Danio rerio: one gene and its partner. The protein of the gene in region 1 purifies or fractionates together with the protein of each later gene. This does not show direct contact. Links are inferred from orthologs where the notes say so. Each region holds a gene or a part of one and is shown on either strand. Other genes may lie near its edges.

What was found.
Region 2: the proteins of dusp10 (region 1) and mapk9 purify together in Homo sapiens (affinity purification with mass spectrometry; 3 studies listed by BioGRID and IntAct, with this or other methods). This does not show direct contact. The link is inferred for Danio rerio from reciprocal best matches to the Homo sapiens genes DUSP10 and MAPK9.

What each region holds. Positions count from the first base shown.
Region 1 is NC_133195.1:55,218,302-55,224,259, forward strand, and holds part of dusp10 (dual specificity protein phosphatase 10), read right to left. Parts: intron 3,343-5,958; exon of another isoform or gene 3,033-3,342; intron 2,117-3,032; exon of another isoform or gene 2,089-2,116; 5' UTR 2,034-2,088; coding exon 1,289-2,033; exon of another isoform or gene 746-1,288; intron 1-745. UniProt on the Homo sapiens protein: Protein phosphatase involved in the inactivation of MAP kinases. Has a specificity for the MAPK11/MAPK12/MAPK13/MAPK14 subfamily. It preferably dephosphorylates p38.
Region 2 is NC_133196.1:35,023,373-35,028,319, forward strand, and holds part of mapk9 (mitogen-activated protein kinase 9), read right to left. Parts: intron 2,523-4,947; coding exon 2,383-2,522; 3' UTR 1-2,382. UniProt on the Homo sapiens protein: Serine/threonine-protein kinase involved in various processes such as cell proliferation, differentiation, migration, transformation and programmed cell death.

The sequences.
Region 1 (5,958 bases):
GCGAGTGCTCGGCTGAACAGAGCAACTCTGAGCTGCCAGCTGGACAGGCCTGCAGGACACACACGAGCAACACACTCCAGTGCTCTCTACTACTGCACCACTACATCTCCTATCACACAGTGGGGGAAATAAGTATTGAACAAATTGTCATGTCGTTTCCTGGGAATAATATTTTTAAAGGAGCTGTTGACATGGAATTGAAGCAGATTTTAGTAATAAAAAAAAACTATACAGAAATAAATCAAACTGAATCTGAAAACTAGTTTTGTGTAATGCTGCTTTCACACCAGACGCGTCAAGCGGGAGTGATTTACATGTTAAGTCAATGCAAACGCGCGAATGGACATCCTGCGGCGCGAATGACACAAATTGCGCGAATGGCGGGGGCGAATTGAGCGTTTTGCGCGTTTGACGCGCTTAACGAGCGTTTCGCCTGAATCTTTCGATTTCGAAAATCTGAACTTCAGCGTACATTCGCGCCGCGTTAACCAATCAGAAGCTTGCTCTTGTGGGGGTGTGATTGTGACGTAGAACCTGTTGTCGGTGTTTCGAGGGAAATCCTCCAGCCTTCACCGACAACAGTTCATCAAACTGGGCTGGGCTCAGTCAGAAGCACCACTGAAAGCCTCCGTCATCTAGGTTAAGTTTCTGGAGGAGTTTGAGCTCACAGAGCTGGATGCACCTCTAAAAGGATGTAGTGGACTCAGACCCGCTGCAGCGCATGACAGAGTGTGTGTGTGGTCACGTGATGTGTGTTTTCAGAGGTATAGTTTCAATTCAATTCAGCTTTATTTGTATAGCGCTTTTACAATGTAGATTGTGTCAAAGCAGCTTCACATAAATGCTCATAGTAACTGGAACAGTGTAGTTCAGTTGTCAGTGTTTAAGTTCAGTTCAGTTCAGTTTAGCTCAGTTCAGTGTGATTTAAAATCATTACTGAGAGTTCAAACACTGAAGAGCAAATTCATCGATGCGTAGCTCTACCAATCCTGAACCATGCGAGCCAGTGGCGACAGCGGAGAGGGAAAAAAAACTTCACCTGATAGGAGAATGAAGACAAAAAACCTTGAGAGAACCAGACTCAGTTCGGCACGACCATGTATATAGTGTGGATGGAGATTTTTTCAGAAACAGTAGGTGAAACTCCAGTGTGGACGTGAATCATTTTCATACTAAAATGCCATATTAAAACTAAAACGTGTTAGTGTTAGACCTCAGTCTCCAAGAGGTAGAGGTGAGCGCAAGGGCTAAGTGCTTTAATAATGATTTAAGAGAAACATCTGCCTACCTTTCAGAACGATGGGGTCTTTTCCTTCCCTACGTAGTGACTCCAAAACCACATGCAGCGGCTGAGACGGTGTCAACCGTCCCGGGTCCACTGTGCTCTCATCATACACCACCAGCTCTTTAGAAAAAATCCCTTTAAACGAGTCCTTGCTCTGCCGGCAGGAGATCAGGTCCAGGACGGTGATTTTACCCTGCTGGAGGCGCCGGCGGCTGATCTTGTCAGAGCAGTTAATATGCATCGCACCCCTAATGTGGCTCTTATTGAACTCCAAAAACGGCCGACAATCGATAATAACGGGAACCGGACCGATCGGGTGACCTAATGGACAATGCGTCAGCTTTTTAGCCAGCTCATTAGGGTGGATGACCCGCATGCCGCCCCGGGTCAGGCTGGAGGTGAGGCTGGGTGCACTGCCGTGCACACTCCCCTGCTGGACGCCATATCCCGATCCAGAGTGTAAATTGGGGCTGCTGGCGCTGACCTGGCCGTCTTTTTCATAGGTGGTCACGGTGCAACAGCTGGCACTGCTGCATCCACACGTCAGCGAGCGTGTGGAGCCGCTGGACGAGGGCATATACGAAAGCGTGGCGGCCTGGATTTTCACCACGGTGGTGCTGCTGATTACCGTGGTCTTGCCGACGGTGGTTTCCAGGTAGCTGGTGTCCAGGCGAAGTCGGAGTTCCTGAGGTCGGATAGGCCTTGGCAGCGCCACCACAATTCTGTCGTCTAGAGGAGACGGAGGCATGGAGAGACCACAGAGGGCTGGCACAGCACGGAGAACTCAGACGTCCTGACGAGCACTGGAAAACACAACAGAGTCATCGAACAGTGAGTACGCTACACCAAAGACTAAAGAATAGGGATGTAACGGTATCAGAATTTCACGGTACGGTAATACCTCGGTATGAATGTCACGGTACGGTATTTATTGAATCATTTACAGGAAAAAACAAAACTTATGAAAATACTCCAAAAAAGTGCCAAAAGTGTCAATGACATACAAATTAGCCATCTATCTGTAAGCTTTGAAACAGGAACTTCAATTTTAATAACAAAAAATTATTAAACCATGTAAAAATAATAAAGTTTCAATTTAGTATTGTTGAAAACTCATCACATTCAACATTTAATCACACTCGCCCATCTACACAGATGAGAGCTCTGCTAGTCGGACTTCTCATCAAGCATCTCCCGCTGGATCTAATCTCACTATATTTAATTATTAAACGGGATATTTCATTCATCTTGTTGTCTTTATCTAACGACATATTCCCTGACTTTGGTCATTGGAATCTATTACTTGTTCTCAGGTAACGTGTTTTGGCTGAGCGCAAAGATAAGTTAATGATTAATGTAACCACGTACATTCTGTATATTGACTGATCGCTTGCCTTTATTTCCTATAATGTATAAACTTATTGTATGTTATACTTTTAAAATGGCCATTATCGATTATTAAAACAGATACTCAGCAAAAGAGAGGCTGTGTTTCGTATTTTCACTGAAATTGAAAGGAGGCAGTTGTTATCGGCTCCGTTTTGTTATAAATATCCTCACAGTGAAGATGACTCTCATATATGCAGCACGACGCCTCAACATGTCTGCTGTCTAAGTTGCTAATATTAAAATGAAAATAGGCAGTTCCTTAAATCATGTTTACATTTTATTGTTAATAAAGTGAAACAACGAAGCCAGGGTGATGTGAATGAAGTTATAAAGTACACTGTTCCCTTTGAAGATTTACCCGTGTCCTCGGTATAATCTGCTTTTCCATATCAAACTGAGAAGAAGAGACTGCAGCCTTGATCAAACTTGCGAAGTCTGAACTTACAAGGAGATGATGCAGGACTGAACTGTGCGTGTTAGGCTACTTAATATTCAGGAAAAGCACCAATCAGAGAGGCGAATGTCTGCAGCCCCGACTCAGTTTTCAGATGTCTCCGTTTTCCATTATCCACACTGAGACATTATCCACACATTTCGAAACGCTCCGTTTTCGGCGCTCGAGAGCTCTTTTCATCCCCGCTTCTAGCAGCACACTCCATTTCCGCATTACTGGATCTGTAGCGACAACAGACCGCAAGGGATGATGGTCAAGCAGGGGCTGATGGGTATTGTAGTTTTCGCTACCTCCCGTTCGCTTCATTCGCCTAAGCAAATTTTCTCAGAAGACCTATAGTTTTACCGAGTCATGCGACTTCGGTAATATCGAAAAAAATTAATATTGCGGTATGACGGTATTTACAATACCGTTACATCCCTACTAAAGAATACACAAGACATGTCACTCGCATAGTTTTAAATGGGGAAAAGTGTAAAAGGCAATATTGCGAATAAAGCCCCGCTTACTAGGCGATTTTTATTTTTATTTTTTTCGACTAATTCAAATTTACGTTTTAGGTTTAAGGCTGATTTATACTTCTGCGTCAAACACCGGCGTATGCTACGGCGCTGACGCATAGCCCTTCGTCGTGGCCGTCGCCATCACTGACGTGCACCTCTCAAAAAATGTAACTACATGTCGCAACGACGCGTAGCGTAAGCTCTGTGATTGGTCGGCTTGGTAGAGCTGACGAGTCTGGGCGGGACCGAGAGCCGCGCGAATGGCGCAAGCAATTGTTTACAAGTGTGGAGTCCCGTGAAGGAGCTCCGGGTGAAAAGTTTTGTTTTGTGTTTACCTCATAGTTAAAGTTGTTGCACGTCCCACCAGTTCCAAGAAAGCAGCGAAGAAACTCGACACAGAGGAACAGTTACACCTCACTGCCAACTAGCGTTTCAGAAGTGTTAATGCAGACCGACAGAGACGGCACGCAGAAGTATAAATGCACAGCCACGCGCGTTGCATGCGCCGTGAGTTACGCCGGTCACCTGACACAGAAGTATAAATCAGGCTTTACGTTTCAAATCGAGAAATCGCGATTTTTAAAAAAAAATATATTTAATACATTATAATGGCACCAATGCGCTTTGGTTCACTCTATGAAGCAGGAAGCACACCAGAACCTCTCGGCTAAACAGGTTTCTATACACACACCGGCGCGGTCCAGCCACGATTCAGGAGGCAGTTCATATTTCAGCCACGCCACAGAGCGCCATCTGATTGGTTTCATGTTAAATATCATGCAAATGTGCGCGTCTGGTGTGTGATAGTTTAAACTGTCATGTGCGCGCCGTGTCGTGGCGCTTCTGGTGTACGACCTGCTTGACTGCCTGTTAAAGCGTAAAGTCATGTAGGATTTTACTTGTTGCATTAGTCTGAGTCACGTCTGTGTGGATTGTCAAGACATTCCCTCATCAAGTCGATAAACTCGATCTCAACATGTATGAAGGACGTAAAACCCTGCCATGTGAAAAACCGCGCCGATCTTTTGGTTCGAACACGAGTAGAGGTGAGGGCCAGTAGCAGCGAAAATGAAAGTACCCGCCCCCCATGACGTCATTTAGCGGACCTAGTTGAAAACCAGACAGATCAGGCAGCATGATACAGAGAGTGGATCAAAGCGCATCAAATGATCGGTATTTAAAAGGGGAAAAAGGAAAAATAGATTAAATATATTAATTTATATTAGACACACATCTGGTGCTTGTATTTGCTCCTGCTATACGTCCATAACTTCACACATTGGGTTAAATTAGGCTTTACAGTTTCCATGTTCAGTCCTTTTCTTCCACTGTATCTTTTGAAGAAAAAGGCAGCAGCTTTACAACCTGTCATTCAATCAGAAGACAAAGCGAAAGCCGAGCTGACAGCCAATCTTTCCTAGGCTCAGCAAAACTTACCTCTAAAATACCTCTGTATTCCTGCAAGTGCAATATTTACACAACTATTTCTTACTCAAATCTTCAGCAACGCTATTTAACTCATGAATATTTTACATTTATTTACACCTTGACTGATTTTTGTATGACATGGCCATTAAAAATACAATGTTCCTTAACAGATGTTTTTTCAAGTTACTTTTAAAGAGAATGTTACTTCAGTCATGTTGTTGTAATGTTTTGAGAAGACTAGTAACACAATAAAAAAAAAAAAAAAAAATCGAAATCCTGAATCTGTCAAACTTTATAAAAAAACCTAGATTTTTTTTTTTTTGCCAAATGGCCCAGCCCTACCGCTTACTAGTCGAGTAGCCAATCATCGATCAATTTAGATCAGGGGTGTCAAATGTACAGCCTGCGGGCTTGATCAGGCCAGCAAACGGGTTTAATGCGGCCCGCGGGATAATTCTGTAAAGTACAAAAATGAGCTGCAATTTTTTTAATAAAAGAAACTGCTGTTCTGATTGTGTCCACTGGATGGTGTCAGTTTGACAGCCTTCTCAGAAGCTTTCAGTTAAGATGAACACCGTTTCTATAGTTATACTTTATTTATAGATAAAGTATGACTCTGCATATAATCACTCTATCATGCTGGAGTTTATAGCCGTTTCGCTTTATTTCAGGACGCATTAACACTGCTCTGAAGGTCTAATCGCTGTTTTAAGTTATCCAGAGCTGTATGAATGTAAAATTTTTAAATATCACAATCGTATTAAATATTACAATTGTAACAGACAGCAACACTTTTGCACAATCGATACCCAGCTGATTCAGTCGTTTCATAAGAGGACCGCGCTTCTTCTCTGTTTTCTTTGTCAACATAAAGGCAGTGAGATTATTTTCGGCCCCTT
Region 2 (4,947 bases), on another chromosome or scaffold:
GTTTTCTCATGCATAATGAATTTAGGGTACAGAACACTAGTTTATACAGTCATCTATTTTTGAACTGAATGAATGGGGAAGAAAGGAAGTAAAAAAAAAAAGGCTCTCAATCATGAAAACCATAGCTAAAAAGGAGAAAGTCAAAGGGTATGATTAGCCACAGTATGTCACTAGCTGTTTCCATCCAACTATTTGCATATGAACATAAAAAACTAATAGAAATGCCAAAATGTGCATTAAATTTTGCACATAACCGAGTAGCATAAAGTTTTTATTCAATTAAAAAAAAATGCAAATAAACTACAATGGAATCACTTTTACTGAACAAAATCCAGTATGCACATTAAAAAAGGTCATGTGATTTTGGTAAAAGAGATCATGTCATAAAAATGTGTGTGAATGGATAAACAAGCAGGCTGAACACTCTAAAACATCTGAAATGTTCTCTTTAACTAATTGGCAGTGGCAGATTTAGACATGGGCAATATTGCTGGGGGCGGCACAGGGAGATGGTGCAAAAAATAAATAGCGCCCCAGTAAAAACCAACCATGTCCCATTAAAAGCTTCAAGATGTGATTTACTTTATGCAAGTGAATTAATTTAGGGTGTTAATCTCAGTACAAGGACGTTAGGGGTCATTCACATTTGGCGTCTTTTGCATGCGAAAGTTTGTTATTCTCTATCTGAATTCATAGAATTCGAAAAACAGTATGCGAGAAGTATTCGGATGACCTACTAATTCCAGCAAGATTATAAAGTGTATCCAATGCATGCTGCGCTATCCCATTATGCAATATGAATGGGAGTGAAGCGACGCAACTCACGTGGGTAGGTGAGGTGATCATGACAAAATGGCGGATGTAGTACATCCATGTTCCATTCATACTGCTCACATTCATAATGTATAGAACAAACTTTTTTTAACGGCAGAATAGTTTGTTTTAATTCAAATGCGGTACCTACAGAGTAGTAGACGGTTTCGGACCCAGCCTTTATTTCTCAGGGGATGGGTAAAGGGGTCTATTTAGGGTGTTCACCAAGGGTGCCATTTAAACTAGAACTGCCACTGCTCATTGGATGGAAACGCTGCTTTACTCGCACGTCTTTTATGCGATAATTCAGTTTTGCGCATAGATTTAATGCACATCTTTGGATGGAAAAAGCTACTGAATTGCAAAGTTAATAAAATGTTCCTGGTAATCTATAAGAATATGACTAATCTTTCAGCTTGTCAATATATGAGCATCTTAATGAAAAAAGAAAGAAAAAGCCACTGACAAGACTTCTTAAGAGTAAAAAAAAAATATATATAAATTTGCTTTATATAACATTCTTATAGGCATTTCAAGTTTGAGGAGATTAAAAAAGGCAATGGATTGCAATAGCTCATGCAATGAAACACAGTCGTATGAAATACGTCATGAACTTGCCAGCAGTGATTAATTACTCTTGGAATGATGAGGAACGGGACTCCGATTTGGATTTTGCATCTACAGTGTACCATTTTGAATTTAGATGCACTTTTTTAAAAAGCTGAATGTTAATTTTTGACCCTCTGTGTGCAATTGTATTTTTAAATCATTTTTAAGTCGCATCGCAATCTGTTTTAGAGTAGATATTAAAAAGCTGTAAAATGGTTTCCACAGCACGAACAAAGAAAATCCGAACATTTACACGAAATCTATGTACGTATATACACACTTGACTACACCCTAACCAACTGAAATCCATCATTGGGTTTTCTTTTAAAATGGGTGTATGGTGACTATATACAGAGGCAGGCACTATTGTTCTGTTTCCTACGTGTGTTTAGGCGTATTTCAGTAATCTGTAGTTGCGCTGTCTGTCTAATAAGTGTTCTTGTTAATATCATGCAGCAATTCTTGTAACAGGAATTGGTTCTGGAGGGGATGGCTAGCTATAAAGTTCAACAATTTATATCTGTGCTTCTTTTAGGTGATGAAATGAATAGTAATAAAAGCTACATCACAGGGGGAGAGCGAGGGCATTAATGACAGGGATAGTCTCAGATATTACATATGCTGCTGCAATAAGAACTCCACCGGAGAAGATGGCATGTTAGTTGTTGTAAAATGAAATGTAAACGCATTAATGCACTCTTCTGTCTATTTGAACGGAGTTCCTTTATAAAATCTAAAAGAAAATAAGATGCTTTTTTGTTGGAGTGTAATCTGAGCATCAGCCTACAACTCAAAAGCTAATACTACACGAATGAGAAGAGAGGAAAAAGCAGTCCCTTAAAAGCAATAGTGAAGTGTAAACTTGAAGCTGTATGAACGTGCACCCACGGTTCAGTCCAGACCTCTGCATGGCCCACACAGCGATGTGACATGAGGGAGAAGAGCTGGAAGTCACTGGAGTCACTCTTCCAATGGGCCCGTGAGGGTGTCAATGCAAGAGCTGTCGGTATCTGAAGCCAGCGTCTGCTCCGTCGACATGGATGAGATGTCATTAATAGAGGACGACTGGGAGGGAGTGGCGCTGCTGTTAACCGTACCGTCTACAAAGCACAAAGAGCAATCCATTACTATGAGTGTCTCTGAGGGTAATGTGTTATTTATACTTATGAATGCAGGCAACATTTAACCCCGCACCTGTTTCATACTGTTCCAAGTGATTGAATTTATTATAAACATCAAGGCTAAACAAATGCATTTGACGTGAAACTAAATTTAGCTGCATTCATGTCATTGCAATTACTACACTTCAAAAAAAAAAAAAAGATCAATTAGTCGTGACACTAAATGTTTTAGTTCATTGAAACTTATTAAACCAAGAATATCATGTTCTAACTTAATTGTATAAGTTACACAAGCTGTTTTCAGTCAGTCTAACATAGGTTAAATAGATTCATTTGATTAAGCTTAAATATTTAAAGTAACCAGGATTCTTTTTACAGTGTAGGGATGCACTGAAATAAAAATTTTAGGGTGAAACCCAACATTTTGCATGCACTTGGCTGGAAACCCTAAACTGCTTTGTAATAATTATTTTTATTTCATTAACACTGGAACTACCACAGGGTGTCAAGGTGGTGCAGTGGGTAGTACAATCGCCTCACAGCCAGAATGTTGCTGGTTCGAGCCTCAGCTGAGTCAGTTGGCATATCTGTGTGGAGTTTGCATGTTCTCCATGTGTTCACGTGGTTTTCCTCCAGGTCCTCTGGTTTCCCCCAAAAGTCCAAAGACATGCGCTATAGTTGAATTGGGTAAGCTAAATGAGTGTGTGTGGATGTTTCTCAGTGATGGGTTGCAGTTGGAAGGGCATCCACTGCGTGAAACATGTGCTGGATAAGTTGGTGGTTCATTCCACTGGGGCGACCCCTGATTAATAAAAGGACTAAGCCGAAAAGAAAATGAAGGAACGAATGATTGGAACTACCAACATTCTATAGCTAATAAAATTACAATAGCGGTCACCGCTCTCATACAAGACATCATGTTGTCATAGAAAACTTCTACAGAGATTATAAAATTAAGCTTTGATTGTCTGTTATCATAGTTAATTAAGTCATTACCCTAAAAATACAACCTTTTTGGTAATACAACCTATAAATATATACAGTTAGGCAACATTAGACCACTTATGAATGAATCCATTTTTTTTTTCACTTTCACAAGCAGGGGAGAAGGTTTTTCATGGCACTAAACATGCTGTTTTGAAAGACATATCTTTGAAGATATGTTTTTGCCAACAGAAAGTTGTTTTGGTTAGCATGAAGTTGCTAGGCAAAATTACAGGGAAAAGTAGCAGACATCAAAATGCATGCTATGGTTTATCTAGGTAGAAATAAAAACTCTTTTGTGTTTTTTTTTTTTTTTCATTTTAATAAAATATCAATGTTAGAAGGAAAATACACAATTTTAGTAAAAGTCATGGAATTATAGATACAGGTGTTTTATCTTAAAGTTATTAAACAGCAAAAATTACAAATGGTCAAAATTACCACCTCTGTAGATCTAGTGATAAATAATATTAATTGATTTTTACATATTTACATTTAACTCAATAACCATCATTTTACAGCTTAAAAGCCAATGAAATAACCACATTTAAGATTACAAAAACTTTTATTATTAATATTGAATGCGGTGCCAAGGCAGCACTACTGCAAATAGCAGGAATGAGTTGCTCTTGTGATCTGATCGGTGCAGCAAAAAAACAACTTCGCTTTTTGAAAGCAAAGGTTTCATTCCTTCATTTTCTTTTTGGCTTAGTTCCTTTATTAATCTATGGTCGCCACAGCGGAATGAGCCACCAACTTATCCAGCATATGCTTTACGCCAAGGGTGTCCAAACTCTGTCCTGGAGCGCTGGTGTCCTGCATATTTTAGCTCCAACTTGCTTCAACACACCTGCAAGGATGTTTTTAGACTGCCTAGTAAGAGCTTGATTAGCTAGGCCAGTGTCTGATTGGGGTTGGAACTAAACTTTGCAGGACACCGGCCCTCCAGGACTGAGTTTGGACACACCTGCTTTACACAGTGGATGCCCTTCCAGCTGCAACCCATCACTGGGAAACATCCACACACACTCATTCACACACATACACTTCAGACAATTTACCTTACCCAATTCACCTGTACCACGTCTTTGGACTTGTGGGGGAAACCGGAGCACCCAGAGGAAAACCACATCAACACAGGGAGAACATGCAAACATTACACAGTAATGACCCAGCTGAGGCTCGAACCAGCGACTTTCTTGCTGTGAGGCTATCGTTCTACCCACTACGCCACCATGATGCGTAGTTTGATGCATGTTTCATAGCATTGCGATTTTTGCGTTTAGTAAAAGCTGTTTCAGATTGCGAGAGAGCTGGAGGGAGAGTGAAATCAGTGCCCTGAACAATGCTGGGCAGTGCAGATCAGTCAGACTTATTTTTTCTCTCATAATTTGTTCCATCATTAGTAATTACCTTAAAT